4 linked regions of the Alligator mississippiensis genome follow. The protein of the gene in region 4 interacts with the protein of the main gene of each other region in a pairwise test. Links are inferred from orthologs where the notes say so. Each region holds a gene or a part of one and is shown on either strand. Other genes may lie near its edges. The genes, in order: PPP1R18, AAMP, NFKBIB and VPS52.

Region 1 (7,947 bases), about 11 Mb from region 4:
TCCCAGCTCCCGGGCTGGTCGGGCCCCCACACGCCTCATGGCCTCCCCGTCGCCTGGCTCCTCAGCGCTGGCTGGCGGGGGCGTCTGCTCACAACTCAGGGAGGAAGCAGAGCTGAGAACAGCCACGGGCTTTGGGGGAGGAGAAGGAGAAGTGCCGGTTTCCTGCCTGGGTTCGGCGGCGTCGGAGGAGGGGGGAGGGGAGCTGCTGGCCCGCCGCGGCACCACCATGAAGGAGTTGCGTGACTGCAGGCGCAAGCTGGCCAGGGCCTTGGCCTGTGTGTCGGCATCAGGCTCCAGCATGGCTGCTGGGCCTGGCTCCAACGCCTCACCTGTGCTCATCACATCCAGCAAGGTGGCCTTCAAGTCCCAGCCTCCCCTCTCTGGAGAGGCAGCCTCCTTGCCCTGTGGGCTTGGCATGACTGTGTTTGGGCCACTGCCATCGTGCCTCGCGCCCCACTCTGGGGAGAGGGCCTCCTTGTCCTTTAGGCCTGGCCCCGCAGCCACTGAGCCACCACCTCTGGGCTGGGCCCCGCTTTCTGGCAAGGCGGCCTCGGTGCTTTGGGGACCGGGCGCTGCTGCCAGCCGATCACCGCTGCTAGGCCTAGCTCTCCTCTCTGGAGAGGTGGCCTCCCTGCCTCGTGAGCCTGGTGGTACCGTGCCCGCCGCACGACTGTCACTGCCAAGCCGGGGCCCCCTCTCTGGCGAGGCTGCCTCTTGGTTCCAAGACTTGCCAAGCGAGAAGCGCCGTGGAGGGCTCTCCAGCCAGGCCTCGCCACTAGACCTGGCTTCAAACTGATTGCGGAAGGAGGCCACCGTGAAGAGGGGCGCTTGGGGTGGTGCGGAGGCGCCAAGCCCTGGCAGGTCGCAGGATGGGCTGGAAGACCTGCCATGCTGCCGGGCCAGGCCAGGATCCAGCTTCCTGGTCTCCAAGGGGTGCTCATAGGAGCCATCAGCAAGGTTCTCAGTGCTGAGGGACCTGACCGGGCGCTGGGGCGGCCCCACACCGCCACCGCCACCGTCCTGGCTGAAGTGGCTCAGCAGCTTGCTGACCCGCCCACGACGCTGCTCTGGCCGCGCCGACTGGTAGCCCACATCCCCGTGCCCCTGGCCACAGGAGTTGAGGTCCTCCGCACTGCGGCTCACGGTTGACTTGACGATGAAGACCTCACCCGCCCGGATCTCCGTCACGCTCCCGCCCGGCCGCACCAGCAGCTCATTCAGGGACTCCACGCTGCCAGATTTCACCTCCGCTGGCCACCGATGCCGCTCAGCCCCTGTGCCCAGTGGAGCCCCTTCGACGTCGGGCACCGACTCAATGATGATGACGTTGTCGGCCCTCAGGGTGCGGATGCCAGGGATCTGACTGTAGGCGTCCGCCAGCTGCTTGGCCTTGGCGCTGGCTGGGTCGCTGTCCGGTGCCGCTGTTTCCTTGCGGCGCTTCTCCAGCTGGATGAAGGGGTTCTGGTGCACGGGGCCAATCTTCTCCTGCAGAACGGCGCTCTCCTCACTGCTGGGCTCCTCCCCAGGGCTTGGGGCTCCCACCCCAGCCAAGGGGGGCCCAGCTCCTCCACTGCTGCCACCGCCGCCCTCGCTGCTGCCTCCAGGCTCAGAGAAGGAAGTGCTGGAGCCCTGCTTGGCACGGCGGCGCTCGATGATCTCCCGCTTCCATGCAGGCATCTTGGCCATGCGGTCCTGCTGCTCCCGCTCCCGGCGCCGCGCCTCCTCCTCTTCCTTCCGCTTCCGCTCCAAGAGCATCAGCTTCCAATCGGGCAAGGACGAGGGAGCCGACATCGTGGCCCTGGGGTGGGGGGGCAGGCAAGGAAGGGAAAGTTTAAAGGGCAGAAAGGAGGACAAAGGATTGTAAGAGAGAAGAATGGGAAGGAGGAGGGATAGAGAGAGCCAGGGAAGGAGGCCTGATTTAAGAAGAAAGAGTGTCAGGAGGAAAGAGGGATGGTGGAAGGAATGGAGGCTGGGAGAGAGCGGGAAGGGAAGGAAAGAGAGTCAATGATGGAGGAAGCGGTGGGGAAGGAGGGCTTGCGAAAGGAGGGACTGAGAGGCCAGGAAGAAAGGACAGAGGAGGGTGAGGAAGAGAGCGGGCATGGAAGCCGGGCGAGGGAGAGGGTGAAAGAGGGACAGGGTGATGGGGAGGTCGAGGGGGAGGCGGCGCCGGGATCACACGGGCTTCCGGCAGAGAGAGAAAGGAGATGAACCAAATTCTCCCCCCTCGCAGCCGGCTCCGCCTGACAGCCCCTCCCTGCCCGCTGCCGGCGGGGCCTCCTGACAGCCCGGCACGCGGCGGCCGAGCGTCCCCGGGGCCCGGCCGGGAGGCCACGCGCTCCGGAGCCCGACCCAGCCTGCAGCCCGGCGGGGGCAGGGGCAGGGGCAGGGGCCGGGGCAGGGGCCGGGCGCGGCGCGGGGGACCCCGTCGGGCTTTCCTGGGGTGGGTGGGGGCTCCTTTCAACCCACCGGAGGGGAAGGGGTGCGGGAGGGGGCAGCATAATTACCCCGGCGAGCGGCGGGACCCAGGCGTCCGGGCTGGGAGGCTTCAAGCGCTCCGTGGCTCGCAGGACCCGGGCGTCGGAGTGATGGGCAGGGAGGGAAGGAGGCTCCTTTTGTCCCGGGCGGGGCTCGGGGGTTCCGGACCGCGGGGCAGACGGAACCAGGCGCCCGCCCCGCGCCGGGCAGGCAGGCAGGGAAGGAGGGAGGCGGGGAGGGGGTTCCCGGTCGCGGGAGTTTCGCGGAACCGGCGTGGGGGTGGGGGCAGCCCCGGGGACCCAGGCGTCCGGGGGCGGGCGCCGCGCGGCTGGGCGGGCCCCGATCCGGGGGGCCCCGATCCGCCGGGGCGGGCGCTGCCGCCGCCGCCGCCGCCTCCGCCGGGTCTTTGTGTGTGAAGGCGCGGGGAGACAATGCGGGGCGGGGCGGGCGGGCGGGGGGCGCCGCGGGATTCCTGCACAGCGCCCACGGGCAGCGGCCGCGGCGGGCAGAGGCCGGCACGGATTGACTGCGCTCGACAGAGCCGGGCCCCAGCGCCCGCACCCGGGCAGGCAGGGATCTGCGGGGGGAGGCGGTGTCCTCCACACCCCCCGGCCTCCCCTCCACACCCCGCTCGTCCCCCTACGCGCGCGCGCACACACACACACACACACACACAGCCCCCCTACTTGTGCACCCCCAGCATCTCACACACCCCTCCAGCATCCCCTTACACACACACACCCTCGCGTCCTACACCCCCCACCCTCCTCCTATGCACATGCACACACACATACACACACCCCAGCATCCCCCTACACGCGCGCGCACACTTTCCTGTAGGGTTGGCAAGCTGGTCAACTGACCACATATTTTTTTGCCCAAAGATTATAGTGATTTTAGGAATATATATTTGTATGTTTCTTGATGGAAACAAGATTTTTTTTTACTGTTTTCTGACACACTTTATAATGGAAAATTTGTGGTTTTTCTGCATCGTATTTGGACCTGTTGACATTTCTGGGGGGTGTTTTTTGTTTTGTTTTCTTTTTTACAATAGTTGATGGATATTTGACAGGTCAATTAAACAAGCTGTATTTGACAGGTCAAATACCTAACTTTGCTTTGCTCCTTGTTCACGTGGTTCCCCAGCCAGACACGCGTGTCACACAGGCTCCTTACAGCCCCCACTCCCGCCCCTGGCTCTCCATCCAGGATGTGAGCTATGCACGGCCTGACCCACTGAGAGGGGAAGCCAAAGCCTAGGGCAGGCCTCAGCCCCCCTGTTCCCAGCAATGTCAGCTGAGGCCTGCTCTGCTTAGCTCTGACCACCAAGGGGTGGCCCCTGCCACATCTCCAGCCCTGCCTTTGTGGGAGCATTGCTATACACACAGACTCCAGCGGCCAAGCTGAGGGAACAGACACAGCATCACCTTCACACTGGCACCAGTGGGGAGACATGGGGTGTTGCTCTGGGAGAGTTCATGTAACAACACTCCCCCCCACCCCCCAAGAGAATAAGTGCTGATGGATATCCCAGGTGAAGGCTGGTACCAGCTTGTTCCACGGTACAATCATTTCTGAACTCTTCATGTGGGTAGCCTCAACACCTTGGGAAGTGCTTCACTCAGCTCTGTCCCACAGTACAGACACCTCCCATCCTAACACCCCCAGTTTCAGCTCTCTTCTTACCATCCCCTGGAGCATTAGCTCCAAAAGAGAAAGGAAAGAGGGTGATACTACACCCACAGTCAGTGCGGGTCCCTGGTACAATGTTCCTAGACTGCTATGCGGCGAACACTTGTCTTCCCTAGGGTAGCCCCTGCTGCTGTGTTGGCACAGTTCCTTAGTGAAAAAGTGTATGCCAACAGGACTTTTTCACGGCTGTAGAACAGGGTGGCACCAACCAGGCCTTGGTGCAGACACAGCTCCACCAGCAAAGACATGTTTTCTGCTGCGCACCGTGAGCTGGTGAGTCAGCATCTCCGGCAGAGCTGCTGGTGGCACAGCTCTGCCCATCAGGGGTCACATCCTGGACTGACTCAGCCTTGCCAAAGAAAGGTTGCAATGGGGACAGAGTGGCAGGTGGGGAAGTAGAGGACGGGGCAGGGGGGAAGTCACACAAAAACACTGATGGGGGAAGGAGGGAGACTGATCTGGGAGTAGGGAAAAGGGGTCCCAGGGATACAGGTGGGTATGGAGAGGGAACATTAGGGTAGCATGGGCAAGCTGCCCCATGACCCCGTGTGTGTAATGCCTTTGGCTGACCAGAACAGGGTGCAGTACCCAGTGCCTGGCATCTCTGTGGCAGCAATGCCCTCTAGTGGGAAGAACAGCAACAGCTCATGTGCTTGTAAAGATGTGCTGACAGGCAGGAGCTAAATTTCCCTCCTTCCTTAGTGCCAAGATGATGCTTTGGGAATAGGAGGACCCGAACTTTCTGCCCCAAGCTCCCTACCACGTCTAACAGCCCAGATGAAAAGCATGCAATCAAGAGATGGATACCCCAGACACTTTCATTCCAGGTATATTGCAGAGAGTGAGACAGAGCACTGCGATACGGCTTGCTGGCTGCATACCCAAGTGTTGCCCTAAGCCAGGCACCACCACCCTCCCTGAGCTGCGGAGAGAACCCAGGAGTCCTGCCCCATGCTGTGCTACCCGTCTCACAGAAACATGTTTGTAAATGCAATAATTCTCTTTAGTTATTTATTTGTTTGTTTGTTTTAAACTAGCCTTTTCCCAGATCACTCAAAAACCCAAGATACAAAAATACTTTATCAGCTTCAGGTTCAAAACAAAACAAAACAAAAGAACCAAAAAAACCCCCACATGCACAAAAAGGCAGCGTTAAAAATAGAGGTTCTTCATTAAGGCATCGATTAAGGTTGGGGTTGCTTTCCTGAGTCAGAAATAGGACCCAGGTATCCTGAATCCCAGCTCAGCCTCTGCTCTACCCACAGGACCCCCTTCCTGAGTGCTGGTGATGGAACTCAGGGGTCCTGATGCTCAGCCCCTCTGCTCTAACCCATCGGACACCATTCCTCTCCAAGACGGGGCCCAGGGATTCTGGTGGACCCAAAATGTCCCAATCCCCATAATGAATTAAGCATTAAGCTAGAACACTTGCATTAAGCTAGGAGACCTGAACATCAGCAGGCTTTGGATTTTGTGGCACAGTTCCTAGCTAACTTTTAATAGGAGCCTGGCACTCACTGCAGGGAAGAGGCCCTATGTCCTGATCCCCATGTCTTGACTCCCCTGCTCTCCCCACACCTTCAATGCATCCACTGGCCACTGAAGTGTGGGAGGTCAGAGCCAAGGCCCCAGAAAGGGATGGACTTCCCTTCCTATTAATCATCCCTCCTTTCCAGCTCATCTTCATATCACTCGAGCCATTTTTTTGCCTTGTACCTAAATACAGAAGAAACAGTACCCTACTTTCATTTTTAGAAACCATTTTTCAAGACTTTTGCAGCAGAGATTGGCGACACGTCCATCACTATGGGGAAGGCAGTAGGGAAGAGCCCAGGAGTCCTGATTTCAAATGCCTCTGAAACTATTAAACCCAGGGCTCAAAATAGAAGGCAGGAATCCTGACTCTGGACCTCCCCACTGTAACCCAGACTTTACTCCCCTCTCAGAGCCAGGAATTGAACTTAAGGACCCTATGAAAGAAGAGTGTTACAATGGGGGAGGGAGGAGAGAGACCAACCTCTACCGAGCTCTGTAAGGCCAACGGTATCTAGAAAGTGGAGCTGGGCAAGTGGGCTGGGAGCCTGGACTCATGGGTTCTACTGCAGCTCTGGGAAGGAAGAGTGTTCCAGTGGGTCACAGCATGGGGAAGGGAGCCTAGACTCCAAGGTTGCTTTTGCAGGCAGCTGTGACTTCTAGGGACTCAGGAGAGATCCTAACACTACAGTACTAAGTGCAGAGCTAAGGGCATCAGTGCTTGGCAAGGTGGGGGGTGGGGAAGGGCACCACTGCGCCAGACCTCCCCCTAGGTAAAAGCCATCCAGCAGGGTCCTGCTCCCACTCAGCTCTCCTTGCTCAAGACAGGGCCGTTGCGGGCCAGCAGGTCCCCATAGGCAGCTTCCTCACGGGAGAAGACCTGGAACTTCTTATCAAGCTGGGCACGGAGGTAGAGGTAGTCCTGTTGGTCCAGGCTGTGCCCGCAGGTCATGTAGGCGGTGAAGAGGGTGGCCAGCAGGAGGCGGTCCAGGGAGAGGCAGGGCACGGCCCACAGGATGAGGAGAAACTCCAGGTACACGGGGTGGCGCAGGTGGGAGTAGAGCCGCACGGCACGCACCGACTTCAAAGCCAGGGGGTCACCCATGCCCAGGCAGTGGTAATAGACCTGCGGCAGGGCACGGCACGGCATGAGGGCAAAGCAGGTTGGAGCCGAGAGAGGAAAGCCCCCAAGACTGCCCCCCGCGAGCCCAGGCAGTGGTAACAGACCTGGGGCAGGGGACCTGCAGCAGGTTGGAGCCAAGAGGGGAAAGACCCCAAGACTCCTTCCTCCCCCTTTCCACCCCCCCAAGCTAATCCCAGTCCCTGAGCCCCTGGATCCTCCTCCCTCCACCCAGTACCTGCTTGACCCCCATGAGCTCGGCGTAGTCGAAGATGAGGATGATGCTGAAGATGATGAGCCAGGCCACGAAGTGCAGGATGAAGCAGGCCAGCAGCACCCAGGTGGCCCAGGGCTCCGAGCGGGAGGCGTCCCACAGCAGCGGCCCGTCCCGCACCGGCTGCCAGCACCGCATCAGCACCTGCGGGCGCCCGCTCTGCTCAGCCCGGCCCGGCCCGGCCCGGCCCGGCCCCGCCGCGCCCCGCCCCGCCCCGCCCGGTACCTGGAGCGCCAGCGCGGTGCAGCACACGTAGCAGGAGCGGTGCAGCACGCCGAGGCAGCGCGCGGCCCAGCGCTTGGCCGGCGCCGAGGCCATGAGCCAGTGCTGCAGCACGAAGAGCGCCACGAGCCCCAGATCGGCCGCCAGCGCCCGCAGCACGCGCGGGTCCCGCAGCGCCGCCGCCCACTCGCGCCCGGCCGTCGGCTCTGCACGGGGCGGCAGCGGGGTGAGCGCGGCCGCCCCGGGGCTCGCTCGCCCCCCCGCCCCGCCCCCAGCCCCGCTCCCCGCCCTACCCGGCCGCGCCCCGCCGGGCAGCACGGCGCGCAGCGACACGAAGCGAACCAGCTCCACGCCGGTGCCGAAGGCGAAGAGGAAGCTGCCCAGGGCCGGGACCACGAGCAGCAGCGCGGGCGCCATGGCGCGGGCACCGGGGCGGGGACTCCCGACTCGCGCCTCCAGCCAGCGCCGCCCTGCTGGGGAGGGGCTTTCCCCGGGGCTCCCCTGTGACGCGACTTCTCCTAGGGCCCGCCCCCAGGTGGGAGGAGCTCCCGCAGTGGGCGGGGCTCTGCGGATGCTCCATTCTCCTGTCTCTCGCTGGGGTCTCGCCAGCTCCGCAGCCCTGCCCCGG
Region 2 (7,102 bases), on a different chromosome or scaffold from region 4:
GTACCCGCCACCCGCCCCCTATGGGCAGCCAGGCTACGGGTACCCGTCTGCGGGGGCGCCAGTGCCCCCCATGCCCACGCTGCCCATGAACTTAGGTAAGGAGAGCATCCTGTGAGGGGGGGCAGAACTGGGGGGTGCCTCTTTGTAGGGGGCAGTGCCTTCCCATCCACGGGGGGCACCCGGGGGTCGCATGGGCCCGGGGAGGGGCACTGAGGGAGCTTCCCCCCGCAGGGGACGACGCCATCATGGCCACCGACTGGGAGGACAAGAAGGTCCGGCATGCCTTCATCCGTAAGGTAGGGGGGCAGGATTTGGGGTGGGGGGGCACAGCCCCTGGCCCTGTCCCTGCCCTGGCTGGGGGTAACGGCCCCCCATTTGCCCCCTAGGTCTACACCATCATCTCGGTGCAGCTCTTGGTCACCGTGGGCATCATCTCTGTCTTCGTCTTCGTGTGAGTGTGGGGGGGGCAGAGCTGCCCTAGGGGATAGGGGGGCATTGGCTTTGGGGGGGGCAGGATGGGGTGCCTTGCCAGGCTCTGACTGCCCCCCCCCCCCGCAGCTCCCCCGTCAGAGACTTTGTGCGCAAGAACATGGCCGTGTACTACGCCTCCTAGTGAGTACCCCCTGAACCCCCCCCCGTGAACCCCACCAGGACCGGGGTCCCAGTGCCGGGGGCTGCAGAGCTCTGGGCTGGCAGGACGGGGGTGGGGGGGGTCCCATCCCCTCTGCCGGTGGGGGCCAGGCGGGGTGTGACGGTCTCTCCCCCCAGCGCCGTGTTCCTGGTCACCTACCTGACGCTGGCCTGCTGCAAGGGGCCCAGGTGAGTACCCGTTGGGGGCGGGGGGGGGGCAGGGCATCGGGACCCCCCAGGATCGGGGCCTGACCCGTGTCCCGCCTCCTTCCTTCCCTCTGCAGGCGGCGCTACCCCTGGAACATCATCCTGCTCGCTGTCTTCGTGAGTGGGGGCTGGGGGGGCTGTGGGGAGGGGGGGGCCCGCTCCCTTACACCCATGGGGGCCTTGGCCCACAGCTGACCCAGCCCCACCCCCTCTGCAGACGCTGGCCATGGGCTTCATGACGGGCACCATCTCCAGGTACTGTGGCCCCCCCATACCCTCCCCCAGGCTCCTGGCACCTTCATTAGGTGCCAATTGGGAGCCCCAGCTTGCCCCTGTGGGGTGGGGGTTGGTCTGGACCCCCCCAGACTGACCCCCCCCCCACAGCTGGTATGGCACCAAGGCCGTATTCATCGCCATGATCATCACGGCCATCGTGGCCATCGTGGTCACCGTCTTCTGCTTCCAGACCAAGGTGAGGGGGACCGGGCGGTGGGGGACACAGCTGGGGACCCCCACTCCTGAGAGCCAGGGCAGAGCCCCCCTTCCTGAGCACGGAGCCCCCCTGGCTGGTGGGACCCCTCCCTCAACCTGGTGGGGGGCACCGCCCCCCCCAGCCGGTTCAGCCTGGGGCTGACCTTTGACCTAGACCCTCCACATGGCAAGTACGGACCAGGCAGGAGCGTTGCCCCTGCCCCCTATAACCGCCCCCCACGACCACCCCCCAGGTTGATTTCACCTCCTGCACGGGGCTGTTCTGCGTCCTCGGCATCGTCATCACGGTAACGGGCATCGTCACCGCCATCGTCCTGTCCTTCAAATACGTGAGTGCGGGGTGGGGGTGAAACCCCCCCGCAAGGCATTGTGGGAGTGGAAGCAGCCCCCCCCACTCCGCTGTCTGCTGAACACCCCCCCGTGTCCCGACCTGGTGCCCGGACTCAGCCTCCTGCCTGGGAGGGGAGCAATATGCGGAGGGGGGCAGCAGTGTGACCCCCTCCCCTTCCCTCCCCGCAGATCTATTGGCTGCACATGCTGTACGCGGCCCTGGGCGCCATCGTCTTCACCCTGGTGAGTGGGGGCCGGCGGGGGGTGCCCACACTGGAGGAGGGGGCACGGCGTCGGGGGGCCTGGCCCTGACCGCCTGCCCCCTCTCCCCCCCCGGCAGTTCCTGGCCTACGACACGCAGCTGGTGCTGGGCGACCGGAAGCAGGCGCTGGGCGCGGAGGAGTACGTGTACGGCGCGCTGCGCATCTACACCGACATCATGTACATCTTCACCTCCGTGCTGCAGCTGGTCGGCCGCAGATAGAGCCCGCGTCCCGCCCGCGCTGCCCGGCTCCGTGCGGCCCCCGGGCATGCTGACGCACGGGGGGAGGTGGGCCCTTGCCTTATTGCCCCCGCCCCTCCCCAGGGCCTGGGTGCGTCCCGGCCCCACCAGCCCGGGATGGGAGGTGCTGCGCGGGGCGCACGTGGGACGCTGGCTGACACGTGGGCACATGCACGTGCTCTGGACACGTGGCTGTACCCGTGTCTCTCCCCCTCCCGCCCCGGGGCTGCTCCGTGCCTTAACGGTGCATGCACCAACATGGCGGCACGGTACGGGGGAGGGTAGAGGGGTCCCCAGCAAAGGTGGGGGGGGCTCTGCTTGCTGCACCTGGCACCCCATGGCCAGCCCTGCCCGGGACCCCCCACAGCGCCAGGCAGGGGCTGAGCCTGCTTCGCCGACACCAAAGAGCCTGGACTGGATGCTGCCAATAAAGTGCCCGTCTGACACCCGCCGCCTGTGCCTGTGACTGCCCTCGCGGGGACGGGGTGGGCATCAGGCCCCTGGGCTGGGGGCACAGACCTCTCCGGACGGACCCTGCGCGGCCCCCCACACTGCACCCCGCTCAGTGCACACACACAGGCAGGGTTCGTGCTGCTTCAGGTTTATTCAGGCCCCGTGGGACCCGGCTAGGTGCGCCCCGCCCTGTGCAGCACCCCCCGGTACTGCTGCTCCGCCTCGGGCCCCACGTTGGCCCTCTTCATGTTCTGGAGGCTCTGGAGCTGCTCGACACGGTTGTGGTCGACCTTGTGCTTGGTGAAGAGGAAGAGGAGGATGCCCAAGGGGAAGCCGATGGCCCTGGGGGGACCGAGGCGGTGGTTAGTGCCTGCGGTGCCCCTCGCTCCTCACCCGCAGCCCCAGTCTGCGTGTCGTGTGCTAGGGCTGACCCGTGCAGCTGGAGACCCCGGGGCGGCGGGCACTCACCAGGCCACCCCCACGGCGCGCATGGGGTTCTTGGCCTTGCGCGTGGGGATGTACTCGATGGGTGGCGGCCCCGCGGGGTCCGGCCTGGTCTGCATCTCTGCTGAAGCCTGTGAGCGGCAGGGCTGTGGTGTGCGGACACCGGTGCGGCGCGCCGCCGCGGAGAAGAAGCCTGCACAAGGGGGGAGCAGGGTCACGGGCACACGTAATGTTGAACCCGCATTACAGCGCTGCCACACCGGAGGCAGTGGGGCAGTCGTCGGGGCGGGGATGCCACCCCACAGCTCCCTGCTGGGAGTTAAGGCCCCCGCCGCACCTTACATTTGTTACACAAATTGACTGGTGAATCGCGCAATAAATGTAGACGGGCCCCAGGCCGTCACTGCCCGGACACGTGTAACGCCCCAGAGCCGGGCGGCACATGTTACATACGTGATGCTGTGGACGGGCGACTCGTGTGATAAACGCTGAGCGGAGCTGAGGGCAGGACGCACGGGGGACACGGCTGTGCTGGACGGGACCCCCAGCCCCCTCCCTCCACCTGGTCTGACCTGGGCCTGGCCCAGGCAAAGCGGGGCAGCGCCTTGCTGCAGCGGGGGAAACTGAGGCAGGGGGTGGGCCCTGCAGAGCCCCGATCCGGCGGCGCTCGTGCGCAGGCGCAGGGCCGGCCTCTCCCGAGAAGCTATCGCAGGAGAAACGCGGACAGTCGCGGCCCGCATTAGTGCGCATGCGCAGTACCCCCCAAACCCTTAAGGCTTTCATGCGGAGTTGGGGTGGGCGCTATCCCGGGGCTCCCCGCGCCGCACTCACCCCGCAGCCCGGCCGCCGCCATGTTGCCCCTGCGCCGTCCCGACACACCCCGCGCGGCGGCCGAAGGCGGATCGGGGACTACACTCCCCAGCATGCCCCGCGGCCTCGCGTATGGCGCGGAGGACAACCTACCCTGTTGCGGGAGGGGCAGGGCCCGGGCGATGACGCGCCTGCGGATTGGCTGCAGCGGCCCTTTCCTCGCTCGCCATTGGCGGAGCCGCGCCCTCCCCTTCCCACCGCGCCCTGCTCCGGCGCTGAGGGGAACGCGGCCCAGCCCGGCGCGGCGCAGCGCAGCGCAGCATGGAGCCCGCCGGCGGCCCCGGCCCCGGCCCCGGCCCCGCAATGCTCTTCCACGGCGACGAGGAGATCATCGAGGTGGTGGAGCTGGGCCCGCCCGGCCCCGGTGAGCGCCCGCGGGGTCACGATCGACCCCTCCTCCCCCCGCCCCCCGCGGGGTCACGCCCCGCCCCCCGCGGGGTCACGACCTCCCCCCCGCGGGGTCACGCCCCGCCCCCCACGGGGTCACGCCCCTCCCCCATGCCCTCAGTTGGGGGGGTGCGTACCCTCCCCCACCTCTGCCCCTCCCCCGCCCCTCATGGGGGTCACGCCCCTCCCCCACCTTGCGGGGGGGCGCCCCCCAGTGCTGCAGGCTCTGACCGCGGACCCCCCCCCGCAGACGAGCTGGCGGCCGAGATGCAGGACGTGGACGTGGACGCGGACGCAGACGAGGGGCCGGAGGACGAGGCCTGGGACACGGAGGAGGAAGAGGAGGAGGGGGGGGGTGCGCGGCACGGCGGCCCCCCCGCCCCCGACGACAGCGAGGTCACCTTCGCCCGGCACTCGGGTGAGCCCCGTCCCCGCACGTCCCCGCGCCGCGCCGTGCCGCGCCGTGCACTGACGGACGTGCGGCCGTGTCCCCCCAGCCTCCGTGTTCTGCGTGAGCCTGGACCCGCGCACCAACACGCTGGCGGTGACGGGCGGCGAGGACGACCAGGCGTTCGTGTGGCGGCTGAGCGACGGGGAGCTGCTCTTCCAGTGCTCGGGTGAGGCGCCCGCGGCCGCGCCGCCCCGGGCGGGGGTGGACGGGGCCGCCCCCCCTCCCCCCGCGGCCCCCGCGCCAGCTGCCCCCTCTCCGCCCCCGCAGGTCACAAGGATTCGGTCACCTGCGCCGGCTTCAGCCACGACTCGGTGTTCGTGGCCACGGGGGACATGAGCGGGCTGATCAAGGTGTGGCGCGTGGACACCAAGGAGGAGGTCTGGTCCTTCGAAGTGGGGGACTTGGAGGTGAGAGTTGGGGGGCCGGGCAGCGGGGAGGGGGTGCAGGCCGAGGGCCCGGTCCCCTCGCCCCGCCCCGCCCCGCCCCGCGTGGTGCCTGGGCTCCATGCGTCCTCCTCCCTCTGCCCAGTGGATGGAGTGGCACCCCCAGGCCCACGTCCTGCTGGCGGGCACGGCCGACGGCAACTCCTGGATGTGGAAGATCCCGGGCGGAGACTGCAAGACTTTCCAGGGCCCGAGCTGCCCGGCCACCTGCGGCAAGGTTCTCCCCGACGGTGCGGGCTGCCTTGCCTTGCCCCCAGTGCGGCGCGGCCGGGGGAGGGCGTCAGGGCATCGGCGGTGCTCGTTGGGGGTGGCCCCTGCGGCGTGCGGCGGGGAGGGTGTCCCCGGGCGTGCGGGGGTGGGTCTTGGGGGTGATGAGAGCCGCGAGCCCCTCTCTCCGTCCAGGGAAGACAGCGGTGGTCGGCTACGAGGACGGCACCGTGCGCGTCTGGGACCTGAAGCAGGGCAGCTCGATCCACGTCCTCAAAGGTAGGCAGGGCTTGTCCCAACCTGGGGCTGGGGTCGGGTTTGAGGGCCGTTGGGAGTGGCGGTGCCGTGGGGGCTCACCCCAGGTCCTCCCCAGGCCAGGACGGGCACCAGGGCCCCCTGACGTGTGTGGCCAGCAGTAAGGACGGCAGCCTGGTCCTGACGGGCTCTGTGGACTGCCAGGCGAAGCTGGTGAACGCCGCCACCGGCAAGGTGAGTCTGTGTCATCTTGGGACTGAGTTGGGGGGACACCCCTGGGTGGGGGTCTCTGCTGATGTGCTGCCCCAGGAGCCTTCTGCATGCACTGCTGCCCCAGGAGTGTACTGCATGCACTGCTGGCAGCGGGGCCAACATGCTGGGGTGCACCCTTGGCCCAAGGCAGCTCATCCCCGCTTGCTGGAGCCCTCGGAGGGGGGGGTTGTGGCCGTATTCCTGGGGGTGGCATGGCCCAGGGCCCCCTTGCAACGTGGTGCCCCTGCCATGGGATCCCCGCTGGGCTACCGAGTCCCCGGCTGACAGGCGTGTGCCGCAGGTGGTGTGCGTGTTCCAGGAGGGGAGCGCCGCCCCGCAGACCCCAGCCGGGGCGGCCGAGGAGCCCGAGTCGAACTCCGTGGAGTCGCTGGGCTTCTGCAATGTGTGAGTGCGGGGGTCAGGGTCGGGGTCCTGGCCATGGGGTGGTGGGTGTTGGCAGCCAGGAGTCACGTGATCTCTGCCCTTTGCCTGGGCTACCCTTGACCGCTGCATGGAGCAGGGGCTCTGCCTGTGACTTCCCCCCTCAGCTGCAGTGGTAGTCTCTGCCCCTGCTGCCCCCGTAACAGCTTCCCCCGGCCCCCCAGGATGCCACTGGCCGCCGTGGGCTACCTGGACGGGACGCTGGCCATCTACGACCTCTCCACGCAGAGCCTGCGGCACAAGTGCCAGCACGAGGTATGGGGCGGGCTGCCTGGGGGCTGGGCCTGCTGCTTCCACGTGCCCCTGGCTGGGGGGTTCCTTGACTATCCCACAGGGGAAGGCTGCGCCTAAGCCCCCTGCCCCCGCTCTGCGCCTAAGCCCCCTGGATCCTGTCTCTGGAGGGGGTCATTTTCTGCATCTTCCTGGGGTCCCGGTGGGGGCTGGCCTTGCTGCACCTCGAGGCAGTGACCCCTTGGCAGGGGCTCCCCCAGCTGGCCCTGGCGCCCCGGGGGCTGCGGCCGTGCCCAGGCTGACGCGGGCGCCGGGTGGCAGTCGGGCATCGTGCAGCTGCTGTGGGAGGAGAGCGCGGCCGTGGTGTACACCTGCAGCCTGGACGGCGCCGTGCGGCTCTGGGACGCCCGCTCCGGCAAGCTGCTCAGCGAGTACCGGGGCCACGGTGCCGAGATCCTCGACTTTGCCCTCAACAAGTGAGTGCCTGTACCCAGCTCGCCCCGCTTG
Region 3 (6,920 bases), on a different chromosome or scaffold from region 4:
CCAGCCATGAGCCCTGTGCCCAGGCCAGCTTACAGGGCTGGGGGAGTGGGAATGACTGGGCACAGCTGGGGTGAAACTGCCCACCCCTGCCACTGATCATGCCCCCCACCCCAGGGGTTTTCGCTCACCTGGGTGTAGCACCGCAGCAGCAGCCCCTTCTCCTTCAGCAGGCGCATGAAGTAGTGGCACACGGTGGGCTGGGGAAGAGCGGGGACAGTCACTTCCGTGTCCCCCCCCCATAGGGGAGAAAGGGCAATTTAACCATGCACCCACTCCCTTAAGTCCAGCCCTTGTACCCCAGGAGGCTCTGGGCACCGGCTGGGAGGGGTGAGGACCACCTGCCCACCCAGTGCTGCCCAGCAAGGAGGCACATATTCGACCCAGGCCCATTGGGGGGTGGGGGGAATGGGTGAGACGCAGCTGATAGCACTGGCAGGGTCTTCCCTGCTGCTGCGGGTGGGGGCTGGTGCGGGCAGGCTGGCACTGCAAGGTCACGGCTCTAACGCAAGCAAGCTCCGGCATCAGAACGATCCCAGAGGAGTCGGGGCTGCTGGCCAGCCCAGGGCAGGGTGACAGGCTGGAGACCCCCCAGCCCCATGGGGCAGCTGAGCTTGCAGGGGGCAGACGCCAGGCTGTGTGGGGGTTGGGCCCGATGGGACCTGGGCGGTTTTCCAAAATGGGGCACAACTCGCCACACTGAACCCAGGGGTCCGGGGCCCAGGTCCTCCGCTTTGCAGAAGCAGGGGCACAACCCAGGCGTCCTGGCTCTGCTCTCACCCCCAGCCCCTTCCCTGCGCAGGGAACCCAGGCATCCTGGCTCCCAGGCGCCTCGGGGCTGGGGCAGGGTGGGTTTACCTTGAACTGCCCCGGGTACAGCTCCTTAGCCAGGGCGAAGAACGGCTCGGGGTTTTTCTGCGTGGAAAAAAGCAAACGGCCAAGTCTCTGGGGGCGCGTAGCTTTAAACAGCTTCCCCCACATCACTACTACCCCCGTGGGGGGAGAGCGGGCTACACTCTGAGCCCTGATTAGGGGGAAAGCCCCCCCCCCCCCAATCAGAGCCACCTCGAGATTGCCCAGCTTCATTATCGGTCCCCCAGCCCTGCGGGTGACCGATCCTGACCTGGGAGAAAGGGGGCCGGGGGGTGTCTGTTGTGGGTACGGCCTCGGGGGCATACCCCAGATGTGCGCGGGGAGGGGAGGGGAGCGGAGGCAGGGGAGCACAGTGCCTGGCCGAAGGGGCGCAGGGAAGAGGGTCCCGGGCCCATACCTTGAAGAAGCGGATGTCGAAGATGGCTTCGGGGTACGGCAGGTTGTAGCTCGCCAAGTTGGCGTAGAGCCCCGTGCCCGGCGACCGGAAATCCGGGATCCCCGCAGCTGGGAGACACCGGGGGGAGGCAGCTCAGGGGCCTGCGCCTTGGCTGGAGGTGGGGGTCGAGATGCAGGGGGGGGGGAAGAAGTGGGCTGGGGTCCCATAAGGATCTTCTCTTTGGCCCCACCGGTGTTACCCGCAGCTGCCGCGCTCCACCCCAGACTCAGCCGCGTTTGCCTGCCTCACGTTTCCTCATGTGTAACGTGCCCCGGAACAAAGTGCCCGCCCGGCTTTTTCCGGCAGAAGCAGCTCTTACCGTGCTACCGTATTTCCCACGCGTCACATTCGTGCCCGTTTCCAGCAGCTGGTTTGGGGTGGGGGGCGGGGGGGGAAGCATGCGTCGTAGGCGAGAAGATCCGGTCGCTGCCCGCCCAACGGGGGTACGCTCCAAAGGGGGGCAGCGGGGGGGAGTGAAGGGAGTGAGCCCCGTACGCACAGCTGCTGCGCTGCACCCCAGAAGCGGCTGCAGCGAGTGGCAGCGAGCGTGGGGGGGCTTGACCCCTGACCCCAGGAGCGCGGGGGGTTAGTCCAGCCGGGGTACTTACAGGTGGAGATCCCGGCTCCCACCATGCACACGACGTTCTTGCCTGCGAGATAAACGGGGGTGGGGCGGGGGGGTGACTTCCGCCCCGGGTACAAGCGCCATCCCCCCCCTCGCCCGCAGCAGGGTCCTCCGTGCTGCCTTGGGGTCGAGGGTAAGCGCCCCCCCCGGGGGCCCAACACCCGGAGGGGGAGGGGAGGGTCCCAGGCGTTCAGCGTCCGCCTGCCCGGGTCCCGTCCCAGCCCGGCGGGGGCTTACACTGGTCGCTCAGCATGAACCGGCTCACGCCCTCCAGCGTCAGCTCCTCCAGCACCTTCTCCGGCCCCTCGCCGCCCAGGCCCAGCGTGCGCGACAGCAGGGTCCGCAGGAACTCCACTGCGGAGGGGAAGGGCAGCCGTCACCGCCGCGCACGGACCCATTTCACAGACCGCACTGCCGGTCGGGGCTTGCTGGGGGGGGTCATGCAGGAGCCACGAAATTCCTCCCAGCCGCCCCCCCCCCACCCCGGGGTGCGAGCACTCACTCTCGGACTCTCCGGAGGCGCCGGCGCCGCTGTCCGAGTCGGAGTCCGAGTCCTGAAGAGACGAGCGGAGTGGAGCGGAGCGCGCCGTTACCGCGGGTTTAGAGCGCAGCCCCCCGCCCCCCGCCCCGCTGAGACAAAGGCGACGTCGCAGGTCGCCGAACCAGCGGCGAGGGGCGAGGGGCAGCGGGCTCGGGCTGCAGCCGGGCAAGCTGGGGCTGGAGGGGTCAGCTGGGCCCCGCCGGACTCACCGGGGAGTCGGAGCCCGGGCCTGGCCCCGCGTCTGCGGCCCCCGGAGCTGCGGGCAGAGGGGGGGGGTCAGTCACGGAGGGGGGGACCCCAGGGAGGGGGCAGGGGGACCCGGGGGCGGGGCCTCACCCTCCTGCTCGGCCATGGGCCCCGCTCCTGGGCCCCGCACTTCCGGGGCCCGCGTTATGTCACCGGAAGCGGAGCCATCCACGGGGGATGACGGGAGGAGACACAGCCAGAGCTCCCATCATGCCCCGCGGTGAGAGCCGTACTCCAGCCAGGATCCAGACTCCACTTCCCATCATGCCCCACGCTCCATTCCCCCCTCCCCCCTCACGCCCCGCGTCCACCACCATGCCCCGCGCCAGGATCCAGACTCCACTTCCCATCATGCCCCACGCTCCAGTCCCCTCTCCCCCCTCACGCCCTGGGCGGAGAGCCCCGCACTCCATCCCCCATCATGCCCCGCGCCAGGATCCAGACTCCACTTCCCACCATGCCCCACGCTCCAGTCCCCTCTCCCCCCTCACACCCTGGGCGGAGAGCCCCGCACTCCATCCCCCATCATGCCCCGCGCCAGGATCCAGACTCCACTTCCCATCATGCCCCACGCTCCAGTTCCCTCTGCCCCCTCACGCCCTGAGCGGAGAGCCCCGCACTCCATCCCCCATCATGCCCCGCGCCAGGATCCAGACTCCACTTCCCACCATGCCCCACGCTCCAGTCCCCTCTCCCCCCTCACGCCCTGGGCGGAGAGCCCCGCACTCCATCCCCCATCATGCCCCGCGCCAGGATCCAGACTCCACTTCCCATCATGCCCCACGCTCCAGTTCCCTCTCCCCCCTCACGCCCTGGGCGGAGAGCCCCGCACTCCATCCCCCATCATGCCCCGCGCCAGGATCCAGACTCCACTTCCCACCATGCCCCACGCTCCAGTCCCCTCTCCCCCCTCACGCCCTGGGCGGAGAGCCCCGCACTCCATCCCCCATCATGCCCCGCGCCAGGATCCAGACTCCACTTCCCATCATGCCCCACGCTCCATTCCTCCCTCCACCCCCCATCATGCCCCGCGCCAGGAGCCAGACTCCACTTCCCATGATGCCTCTCGCTCCATCCCCCCATCACGCCCTACGCTAGGACCTAGACTCCATCTCCCATCCTGCCCCGCGCCAGGACCCGTCCTCCCGGCCTGCCCCGCGCGCCGCCCACCCCGCAACAAGCCGGGCGCGCATTGGTGGGCGGCGGGGATTCCCCGGGAGCTGCCCCGCCCCCCTCTCCCGTCGGTGCAGCGGGCCCGGGGCTGCGGCGCCCCTGCCGCCATGTCGGGCCAGGCCGAGGCCGAGGCGGAGCGGGGCGTGGAGGCCGAGAGCGAGACGAAGGCGGGCCCGGAGGAGTGGTGCGACAGCGGGCTGGGCTCGCTAGGCGAGGGGCCGCTGTCGCTCCCGGGCGCGCCGGGCCCCGAGGGCGGCGGGGAGCGGGAGCGGGATCGGGATCGGCTGGACTCGGCGCTGGGGGACGAGGAGGAGGAGGAGGAGAAGGAGGCGGCGGCCGTGGGGGCGCTGGCGCAGGGCGTGGGGTCGGTGCGGCTCCGCGACCCGCCGCCCGTGGCCCCCGAGGCCTGGCTGCGCCACGTGCTGGGCTTCCTCACGGAGGACGGCGACACGTAGGTGTGGGGGCGGGGCGGGGCGGGGGGCGGGGGGCTGCCTCCCCTCCCCCACCCCACCCCGCCCCGCCCACCTGCGCCTCCCCGCAGCGCCCTGCACCTGGCCGTCATCCACGAGCACGAGCCCTTCCTCGACTCCATCCTGCACTTCGCGCGCGGCACCGCCTACCTCGACCTGCAGAACGACCTGGGCCAGGTGAGGCCCCGCCCCCGGCCCCGCCCCCGGCCCCGCCCCCCACCTCACCTCACCTCACCTCACCTCACCCCACCCCCGCGTCTCCCCCAGACCGCGCTGCACATCGCCGCCATCCTGGGCGCCGCCGGCTTCGTGCGCAAGCTGACGGGGGCGGGCGCGGGGCTGGGCCTGCGGGAGAAGGGCGGCCGCACCGCCCTGCACCTGGCCTGCCGCGAGGGCCGGCGCGACTGCGCCCGACACCTCCTCGCCCCGCCCGGCGCCCGCCTCTACCTGGACTGCGCCAACTACGACGGTACGCGCGCACGCCGCGGGGGGCACACCCCCTCCCCGACCCACCCACCCACCCCCCTGCCCCCGGGGAGCTGTCGTGGGGGGGGGCGGCCGAGGCCGGCGTCCATCCCGCGCCTCGCTCCGCACGCAGGTTTCACGCCCCTGCACGTGGCCGTGCTGCAGAAGGACGTGGAGATGGTGAAGCTGCTTCTGGGCGCCGGCGCCGACCTCGATAAGGCGGTGAGTGCCGGCAGGGGGGCGGCACTGCTGTAGGCAGATCGCAGCCGACGTAACGCGAGGAGAAAAGCGGCTTTACTCCCAGAGGGGGGCTGGGTTAAGTCCACCTCGCTTGTTGGTAGAAAGCTTAGAAAAATCCGGTCACAAGAAGGCATCTCGTTAGTCCCGCGAGGCATCGCTGCGCTAGATCGCGCCCGAGCCGTGACTTGGGAGCCCCTCCGGGGATGGGGAGTCTGCGGCGTCCGGGAGGGGGACCCGGCAGGGCAGGACGGGATGGTTGGAACAGTCAATGTCGAGATCGTTAGCGAGGAGAGAGGGTCGTTAACGCCTGCGGAGCAAAGGGATTAGCAGGAACGAGGGAGCGGTGAAGTCAGTCGAGTCCAGGCTGCCTGGGTAGAAACGCGGCTGCCCCTGCCACGCAGTTGGGTTTACAGATTGGGTAGATGGGTCGACGGGGGGTGCCCCCCCACCACCTCCAGATCTGCCCCTGGGCGTTACCACCCCCTCCCCCCCTCCCTGGCCTGTGCCGGCAGGAGCCGAGCTGTGGGCGCAGCCCCCTGCACCTGGCGGTGGAAGCGCAGTGCCCCGAGGTGGTGGAGTGCCTCCTGCGCGCCGGCGCGGACCCCGGCGCCCGCATGTACGTGGGCTACACGCCCCTGTACAGCGCCCTGCACCGGCCCGACCGCAGGATCCCGCAGCTGCTGCGGGACTTCGGCTCCCAGGAGCCCGACTGGGACTCGGAGCCGGAGAGTCCCGACGACGCCAGCGACGTGAGTGGGGCGGCTGTGGGGACCCTCCTGCCCCCGGGGGGGCTGGGTGGGAAGCTCCTAGTGGTTAGATCCCCCCCCCCCCCAGCCGTTAATGAGACGAGTTGGGGAGGTCTCAGTCGTTTGCTCCGCCCTAATTCCTTCCGTCTCTCCCCTTTCCCTCCAGGATGAATATGACGACATCATCATCAACAGTGGATATTATAAGAACTGATGGGGGGTGGTCTCCCCTGCCCCCCTCTCCTCTCCTCTGCGGGTGGATTTGGGACAGCCTCGTTGCCCGGCCCGGCCTCTGCTATTGCCAGTGGCCCCCCGGACCCCCAACGCGTCCCCTGCCCGCTCTGGGGCCCCTTCATCTCCTGCCGGCCTGAGACCAGTTTGTTGTGCCGCGGGCAGGGCAGGCTTGGCCCCTACCTCGCCAGCACCTGCCTGCCCTAGTGTAGAGGAGCCCCTGCCGCGGCGGCTACCAGCTCTAGATCTCGGCTGCCAAAGACCTGAGGTCTGTAGAGCGGTGCCGATTGCCGCCCCCCCGCTTTAGGATCCCAGACTCTTGGGCTCTCGTGCCCGTGACCTTTGGGCTCTAGTAACCCCATCTCCTTCCAGCGGTGGCACAAGTCGGGGATCCCTCCCCGAACTGCCCCTTCCACCTCTCAGCCCCGAGCTGTGCAGACATGGGGGCAGGGAAATGCTGCTCTCAGACCAGAGAGACCATTCCCAATACTGGGCTGGACTGGTCCCCTATCCCAGTGTGGACACAGTGGTGCCCAGGGGGAGGACCGGGTTCTGTCTCTGCTCCGTCAGCTGTGGGAGGTTTTGCCCACCCGCCCCTTGCAACTCCTCCAGCCCTGGAGGCGGGGAGCTGCCGATCCCTGCCTCGGCCCTGCCCCAGGGAAAGGGGCGTGTGTGTCTCCTCTCCGTGTGCGTCCAGCTTCTCTGTGTGTGGTGTGGCCCCCCCGTGTCGTTCCTACCACTCCAGCGTGCGTCTGCGTGGTCCGTGTCTGCGTGCCTGTCCTGTTCTTGTCTGGATCTTGCCCTGTGCTGTGTATGTTAACGAGGGTGGGTGGCTGGGTGGGGGGGGGCACGTGATTAAAACTCTTGCCCCATTCAG
Region 4 (6,924 bases):
GGGACGAGCTGCCAGGGAAGTCATGTTTCCTTCCTTGGGGGTTGCAAGAGGAGGCCTCAAGGGTGTCTGGCTGGAACAGCTTAGGAACTGCCCAGCCTGCATCTGTGCAGGGCTTGGAGAAGACAACCTGTGAGACCCGTCCCAGCCCCAGGACACCCCCAAAGTGTGCCCCACAGGCAGCCCCAGCAGAGGTGCAGCCATTTCTTGACTGGCACCCACAGACTGGAGGCCAGACAGGATGGGGCGGTGCATCCACATGGCTTAAGGTAACTGGGTTCCCCCAACAGGGACTCGAGAAGCAGGAGCAGCAGGTACCTGCTGAGGGCACTGGTGCTGGGTCAGGTCAGGTGGGAACCACTCCAGGCACTCGCTACACTCAGGAGTCGACATATTTTTGGTCCCAAATCTGTTGCAGTCCAGGGCTCCTGGGGTCCCTCCATTACCATGGTTGGTCTGAACTAAAGCAGAGCACAGACTAGGGGGCCCAGGCACCAGGCCCTGCTGGGACCTCAGCTGAGTCACTTTGCTCCCCACTCACCCTTGTGCCTGTTTCCCCAGAACAGACCTGATGACAGCTCCTGGCTGTAGAGGACTCTTGGTGCAAGGCCTGGGGCTGCCACCACGCACCAGACAGGACTATCCAACTCCTGACTCTGAGCAGGAGCTTGGAGAGGTTTGTTGGGGACAGTGTCCTGCAGAAACCCTAGTTCTGGTGCAGATCCCACTGATCCAGCTGCTGTCAACTCCTACAGCCTTTGGATGAGCCTTGAAAGGCCAGAGAGCATAGAAGTATTTGGGGCTAGAGCCCCTGGGAACCAGGTTAGAAGGGGGCCTTGAGCCCATCCCCAACACACAAGCCATTGTTTCAGAAAGGTATAGTAGGGCCGCGTTTTGCAGCATCTGGGCACCTAACTGAAGCAGAGATGCTCACTTCATCACTACTATGAAAGGACTAGAATGGACCAGAAGATCAAATGCAGAGTGATTTCAATACAAAAGACGGAACAGAGGAAGAGGGGGCAGGGGGCAACATTGAGAGGGGCACACAAAATAAGTGATAAACCCATGGGGGCTGCAGGGATCCGTAAATGAAGGATGAGAATTTGGAGATGGTCCTTCTAGTGGGCAATGCTACGAGCGTAGGGATTCAGAAATGATCTTGGTGTGGGGCGCAGGGCAGCAGTAGAGGCCAGGTTGAAACAGCTCCTGCAACAGGGAGACCGTAGCCCTGCCCCAGTCCCTGCCCACCCTCTACCCTGAGGGACGGGCTGTGACAGGGATTCCCTCAGGGCTGGGACCAGGTGCAGGATCAGGGGAGCCACATTGGTGTCTTCATGCAAGATCCCAGAAGTGTGTCGGTGAAAATGAAAAAATGGGACCCGTCAGTCACATTGTAAAGTGAGACCTTGCCCGCCTCCTAGTCCCGGAAAATACTCACCTGCCTGGGCCATACAGCCACCCCGTATCCATTGACAAGTGTCAGTGTAACCTTCCCCTTCTTGCACACCGAGTCCCTGCACACACCCCTGCCCCACCTCAACCTCACATAAGCACCTCCTGCCCGTGAACCCCTCAGAGCCCAGGAGACAGGGACAAAGATCAACTCTTTGGGTTGTCAGGTAGCTGCTATCATTTGTCTCACACACTTCCCTGCCCAGGATAGAAGAGAACAGCAGCCCCACGTCCTGCTTCTCCCACCAGCCCTGCCCCAGACTCATCCCTCCAGAGAGAGAAGGGAGGCAGGTCTGAGAACAGCACTTTATTACATACACAGGGAACAGGTTACTTCTTCTTTGAGACACCCACAGTGCGGCCGCGGCGGCCTGTCGTCTTTGTGTGCTGGCCTCGCACACGTAGCCTGCAGTGGAAGGAAAGAGATAACGGTCAGAGCTGAGATATCACCCGCTCTGCCCTCCACCCTGCCTCTGTGGGCAGCGCCACGCCCCATCCCCCAGCCCCACTTACCCCCAGAAGTGACGCAGACCACGATGCGCCCGGATCTTCTTCAGCCGCTCCAGGTCCTCACGCAGCTTGTTGTCAAGCCCGTTGGCCAGCACCTGTGGCAAAGAGGCAGCAGGTCAGAGATGCAGCCTAGCTGGGGCTGAGGTCAGCCAGCCCAGGCCCCACCATGTGGGAGAAGCTGAACTACACACATGTGGGCTGCTGGCAGGGGAGCACCAAGGACAGGCCCCACAGCTCCCAGAACCACAACCACGTGGGAGCTCACCTGTGTCTGGGATACCTCAGACCCTTGGTGCTCTCCCCTTGTTGGAGAGTCCTGAACCTTGCCCCCCTCCCACCCCATTTTGCGGTGCTGGGTAGGTCGCTACATCCCTCCGCACAGATCCTTAGGGCCCAGAAGCAGTTCAGTATGAATCTCAGCCGTTAGCACGCAAAAGAAGGCAGCTGTTAAGCGACAGTTTCGAGAGCAGAGATGTGGAGACCAGGGTCACACCCTGTGCGGATAAGGCGACCCCAGGAAAGAACGAGTGGCAGGCCATAACTCAGTTTCCCTGCTCCTTCAGTCAAAAGCTCAATCTCCGACAGCAATGAGCAAGACCACAGACCTGAACCGTATCCAACTCCCCCATGCCAAGCCACAGGAGTGAGAGTCTGGAACTTGCCCCCAGCCGTTAGGAGGGGATCGTGGAAGCCCGAGACCTTATCTCCCCCTGCAGCAAGTGTCTACATGTTGTCTGACACGTGTAACTGCTCTTAGCCACATTGATAACATCCCTATCAAACAACTGTTAATCAGAGGAGCTAGCTATGGCTTCTGTTGTTCTTCTCCAGATAAAATAAAAGCCCCACGAGCCATCCTGAGTGTAACGGTCCCTTCCCCTGCCAGGCTCAGCCCCCGGTCACGAGCCCTGGGGGATGGCAGGCCTGGAAGGAGCCCCGCCACTCACCTGGCTGTATTTGCCATCCTTGATGTCCTTCTGCCTGTTGAGGAACCAGTCGGGGATCTTGTACTGCCGGGGGTTCTGCATGATAGTGATAACGCGCTCCACCTGCAAGCGGGGAAAGGGGGTTTCTGTAAGCTAAGGTCAGCCGGGGCTCCCCACCCCCCACAGCAGACCTCCCCAGCACCACTCCCTGCAGCCAAACCCCACAGCACCCTGCACCGCACCCTCACCCCGGCCTCCTCACCTCATCCTCCGTCAGCTCCCCGGCCCTCTTGGTCAGGTCAATGTCTGCTTTCCTGAGCACCACATGGGCATAGCGCCGGCCCACGCCCTGCAGGCGAGTGGAGAGCGTAAATACAGGCCTCAGCTCTGGAGAGGGGGTCTGCCCCAGCCCTGCCAGGATCCTGCAGGACGAGCCCCTACCCCAGGGACGGACCCGCAGCCCCCCCGCCGGGTGACCCGCACCTTGATGGCGGTGATGGCGAAGGCGATCTTGCGCCGCCCGTCGATGTTGGTGTTGAGCACGCGGAGAATGTGCTGGAACTTCTCGGGGATCACGAGCGACTGCGCGGGGCAGGAGCAGGTCAAGGGCGATCTTGCGGCCTTCTGCCCCCCGGCTCTCCACCACCCCGGCCCCCTGCGCCCTCCCCGGGGGCCCCGCCGAAAAATGGGACGCGGGGCGCGAAGCCCCAGCCCCGTCCCCCCCAAGGGCCGCCCCGCAGCCGCAGTGCCCCGCGCCCCAGCACGGATGGGCCCCGATGCGCCGCGCGCCCCCGCCCGGCCGTACCATGGTGCCCGCTCCGCTCCGCTCCAGCCCCGTCCGGAAAAGAAAGGGGAAGTGACGCAGTGCCCGGTATTCACCCCCCCAAGGGGCTCCGCGGCTTCCGGTCGGGGCTGTTCCCCTTCCGGCTGGGTGTGAATATCCGGAAGTGACTTCCTGCGGGGGTAGCAGTAAAAGGCATCCGGGTGGGAAACCTGACCCCACAGGGATCCGGAGGCTGTAAACCGTCGTTAGGGCTCCTTTCCCCCGGGTGCCGGATTCCGGCCGCCGGCCGCACTCCAGCTCGGAAAGGGCTTGAATAGTGCACTTCCGGTCAGCTCCCCGGTGCTGTCTGGGAGATGTAGTTCGGTGGAGAACCAGGCCGGAAGTGCTCCCGTGGCCGGCGCGGGGCGGGGCGGAGCAGCGATGGCGGCGCTGCGGCCAGCGGAGGAGCTGGGGCTGCGGGCGGGCGACACGGAGGAGGAGGAGGGCACGGTGAGGCCTCGGGCTGCCTGCCCCTCGCCCTGCGCCCCAGCCCCGGCCCAGGCTGAGCTGTACCCCCCCTTCCCCCCTGTGCAGCCCCCGGGGCGCGGAGAGGAGCAGCCGCTGAACCTGGGGGACCTGGACCTCACCTCGGACGAGTTCATCCTGGACGAAGTGGACAGTGCGTGGGGGCGCGGGGGGGCGCTGGGAGCGAGGGGGGTGGGGTGGGGCCAGCGCTGACTCCCGCTCCTCACCCCCAGTTCACATCCAAGCCAACCTTGAGGACGCCCTGGTGCAGGAGGCGCTGAAGACGGTAAGCTGCCACCTCCTCCCTTGCTGTTCCCTGGTTGCGGCCAGCCCCCCCGGCCTGTGTGACCCCCTCCCCTGCGCAGGGCGTGGACCTCCGGCAGTACTCCAAGCAGGTGGAGCTGGAACTGCAGCAGAATGAGCATGCCTCCATCCGGGACTGTATCCTTGGAGGAGGCGCACAGATGCCCTCAACCACCCTCTGCTGAGCCTAGCGTGAAGCGGGGAGGGGGGAGGATTCAGTTACCCCCGCCCGGGGGAGTTTGGGATGGGGTCTTCTGTGCCCCTGCCCAATCCCCAGCACTGCAGACAGGGGGCTCCACCTGGAGGGAGGGGTGTGCTCCGCTATGTCTCTGGTACCCCGCCCCCCTCCCTGTATCTTGGGGCTGGCTTTCCAGTCCCCCCCCCAACTTCCTTGTTGGTTTCCTGAACGACCCTGGTCATCCCACAGACATCAAAGAGAGCAAGAACATTGCCTCCCTGCACAACCAGATCACTGCCTGTGACACCATCTTGGAGGTGAGACACACCCCCCCCCACATACACATACAGCCCTCCATCCAGCAGACCCCCTTCAGTTCCCATCACTCTCTGCAACCCCACCCGGAAAGGGGCCTACTGCACCCACTCCTGACAGCTTCATAGGCACTGGCAGCACTGCTTCTACAGGGGTGAAACACCCCCTTTCTCTTTTTCCTCTCACAAATTGAACATTAGAGGGGGTGGCTGCAGGGGTGGGATGGGCAGGGAAGTGAGAACAGCTTACCTTCCCTTTGCTCCTGGTTGTTTTGTGCTGGGGTTGGAGACTGGCAGGACATCCGGGGTGTGTGTGTGTGTCTGCTGCGGGGAGATGGTTTCTGCCCCAGTGTGGATGGGTGGGTCACAAGGGTCTGGCCTCTCTGACACTTGCTCTTCCGACGCCCTGGCCCAGCGCATGGAGCAAATGCTGAGCACCTTCCAGTGCGACCTGAGTAGCATCAGCTCGGAGATCCAGACATTGCAGGAGCAGTCAGTGGCCATGAACCTGCGCCTCAAGAACCGCCAGGCTGTGCGCAGCCAGCTCAGCCAGCTGGTCGATGAGCTTGTTGTGCCCGCCAACATGATCAGGTGTGGGGGCCTGGGGCAATCCAGGGGCTGGGGGAGGGAAGTGTCTTCTGGGCTGCCCTTTCATGACTCTATCCCACCTCCAGTACCATCCTGGAGGCGCCGGTAACGGAGCAGGAGTTCCTAGAGCAGCTGCACGAGCTCAACAACAAGATTAACTACGTGAAGGAGCAGGCCTTCCGTGAGACAATGGCCTGTGCCGATGTGCAGCACGTGTTGGAGAAGCTCAAGGTCAAGGTGAGGGTCCATCCGCCCTCTCCCATGTGACCTAGGCTTAAAGGCCAGGGGGAACCATTCCCTGAAGGTCATGGGTCAGGGGTCTTCCCCATCCTTTTCTTGTTCATTTTTGCCTGGAGGAGATGTGGACTTTCCTCTCCTCCCTGCTTATGCAGGGGGCTCCAGCAGCCTCATGGTGCCCAATGACTCCCATGACATCTCTCTGCTTCCCTGAGCAGGCAGTGACCAAGATCCGGGAGTTCATCCTGCAGAAGATCTACTCCTTCCGCAAGCCCATGACCAACTACCAGATTCCCCAGAATGCTCTGCTCAAGTACAGGTGAGCTGGGGGTAGGGGGACCTTCCAGCATCCTCCTCAGCTTGGGGCAGCAGCTGGGCAGGCTCCTGGAGACTCACAGACACCACCCCTCGCCTCATGTCCTCCAGGTTCTTCTACCAGTTCTTGCTAGGGAACGAGCGGGCGGTGGCACAGGAGTTGCGGGAGCAGTACGTGGAGACCATGAGCAAGATCTATCTGTCCTACTTCAAGTCCTACACCAGCCGCCTCATGAAGATCCAGGTTGGGACACGATGCTGCTGGGGAGTGCAGGGCCCCCAGCCCAAGCAGGAACATGGCTGGGGGGTATGGTGGGAACTCAGTGGGATGACTGGGCCAGACTCCCCCATATTACAAGCAAGGGGCAACGGTGCAGCCCTGTGGTGGTGAACCTCCCTGGCTGCCTGTCTGTCCTGTGGGATGCGGGATGGGGCTGGGGTCCTGGTGCTGACTGTTCATCTGTGCTGCAGTATGAAGAGGTGGCTGACAAAGATGACCTGATGGGCGTGGAGGACACGGCGAAAAAGGATATCCTGCTGCCCCAGGGCACGGGGCAGGAGGCAGGGAGGTGTCGGGTGGGGGGAGGAGCAGCATCTCCCTGGTGTTCCCCTTGACTCGTGAGTCCCACGCTTCTTCTCCAAGCCATCGCTGAAGAATCGCAACACCATCTTCACACTGGGCAATCGGGGCAGTGTCATCGGGGCGGCCGAGCTGGAGGGGCCCATCATCGTGCCACACACGGCCCAGAAGAGTGATGTCCGTGTGAGCAGGGGTGGGGGAGGGCAGGGGTCACCACCAGGGGGTCCCCCAGA

What was found.
Region 1: the proteins of VPS52 (region 4) and PPP1R18 interact in binary tests that used the Homo sapiens proteins (3 or more experiments, as listed by UniProt). The two-hybrid records come from large-scale screens. The link is inferred for Alligator mississippiensis from reciprocal best matches to the Homo sapiens genes VPS52 and PPP1R18.
Region 2: the proteins of VPS52 (region 4) and AAMP interact in a two-hybrid assay, tested with the Homo sapiens proteins (2 studies listed by BioGRID and IntAct). The link is inferred for Alligator mississippiensis from reciprocal best matches to the Homo sapiens genes VPS52 and AAMP.
Region 3: the proteins of VPS52 (region 4) and NFKBIB interact in binary tests that used the Homo sapiens proteins (3 or more experiments, as listed by UniProt). The two-hybrid records come from large-scale screens. The link is inferred for Alligator mississippiensis from reciprocal best matches to the Homo sapiens genes VPS52 and NFKBIB.

Annotation. Positions count from the first base shown.
Region 1 is NC_081834.1:53,469,590-53,477,536, reverse strand, and holds the start of PPP1R18 (phostensin), read right to left. Parts: upstream 3,012-7,947; 5' UTR 2,505-3,011; intron 1,799-2,504; 5' UTR 1,792-1,798; coding exon 1-1,791. Other genes in the region: NRM (nurim), read right to left, coding at 6,509-6,829, 7,062-7,241, 7,323-7,525, 7,613-7,736.
Region 2 is NC_081827.1:253,654,820-253,661,921, reverse strand, and holds the start of AAMP (angio-associated migratory cell protein), read left to right. Parts: upstream 1-4,100; 5' UTR 4,101-4,189; coding exon 4,190-4,292; intron 4,293-4,565; coding exon 4,566-4,733; intron 4,734-4,812; coding exon 4,813-4,932; intron 4,933-5,033; coding exon 5,034-5,173; intron 5,174-5,294; coding exon 5,295-5,439; intron 5,440-5,611; coding exon 5,612-5,695; intron 5,696-5,789; coding exon 5,790-5,905; intron 5,906-6,224; coding exon 6,225-6,328; intron 6,329-6,528; coding exon 6,529-6,619; intron 6,620-6,855; coding exon of another isoform or gene 6,856-6,897; exon of another isoform or gene 6,898-6,916; coding exon 6,917-7,071; intron 7,072-7,102. Other genes in the region: TMBIM1 (protein lifeguard 3), read left to right, coding at 1-95, 232-296, 387-451, 559-612, 769-819, 915-954, 1,055-1,092, 1,222-1,309 and 3 more; probable hydrolase PNKD, read right to left, coding at 2,788-2,956, 3,083-3,251, 3,890-3,983. UniProt on the Homo sapiens protein: Plays a role in angiogenesis and cell migration. In smooth muscle cell migration, may act through the RhoA pathway.
Region 3 is NC_081838.1:1,160,550-1,167,469, forward strand, and holds NFKBIB (NF-kappa-B inhibitor beta), read left to right. Parts: upstream 1-3,908; 5' UTR 3,909-3,998; coding exon 3,999-4,342; intron 4,343-4,432; coding exon 4,433-4,538; intron 4,539-4,628; coding exon 4,629-4,830; intron 4,831-4,959; coding exon 4,960-5,048; intron 5,049-5,578; coding exon 5,579-5,815; intron 5,816-5,978; coding exon 5,979-6,026; 3' UTR 6,027-6,919; downstream 6,920-6,920. Other genes in the region: SIRT2 (NAD-dependent protein deacetylase sirtuin-2), read right to left, coding at 129-197, 856-912, 1,268-1,374, 1,915-1,956, 2,169-2,285, 2,434-2,485, 2,682-2,728, 2,809-2,824. UniProt on the Homo sapiens protein: Inhibits NF-kappa-B by complexing with and trapping it in the cytoplasm.
Region 4 is NC_081834.1:64,784,523-64,791,446, reverse strand, and holds the start of VPS52 (vacuolar protein sorting-associated protein 52 homolog), read left to right. Parts: upstream 1-3,908; 5' UTR 3,909-4,092; coding exon 4,093-4,161; intron 4,162-4,245; coding exon 4,246-4,330; intron 4,331-4,409; coding exon 4,410-4,462; intron 4,463-4,541; coding exon 4,542-4,617; intron 4,618-4,906; coding exon 4,907-4,974; intron 4,975-5,386; coding exon 5,387-5,562; intron 5,563-5,645; coding exon 5,646-5,796; intron 5,797-6,014; coding exon 6,015-6,115; intron 6,116-6,222; coding exon 6,223-6,355; intron 6,356-6,582; coding exon 6,583-6,640; intron 6,641-6,740; coding exon 6,741-6,874; intron 6,875-6,924. Other genes in the region: RPS18 (small ribosomal subunit protein uS13), read right to left, coding at 1,783-1,858, 1,966-2,057, 2,910-3,011, 3,151-3,237, 3,372-3,470, 3,694-3,696. UniProt on the Homo sapiens protein: Acts as a component of the GARP complex that is involved in retrograde transport from early and late endosomes to the trans-Golgi network (TGN).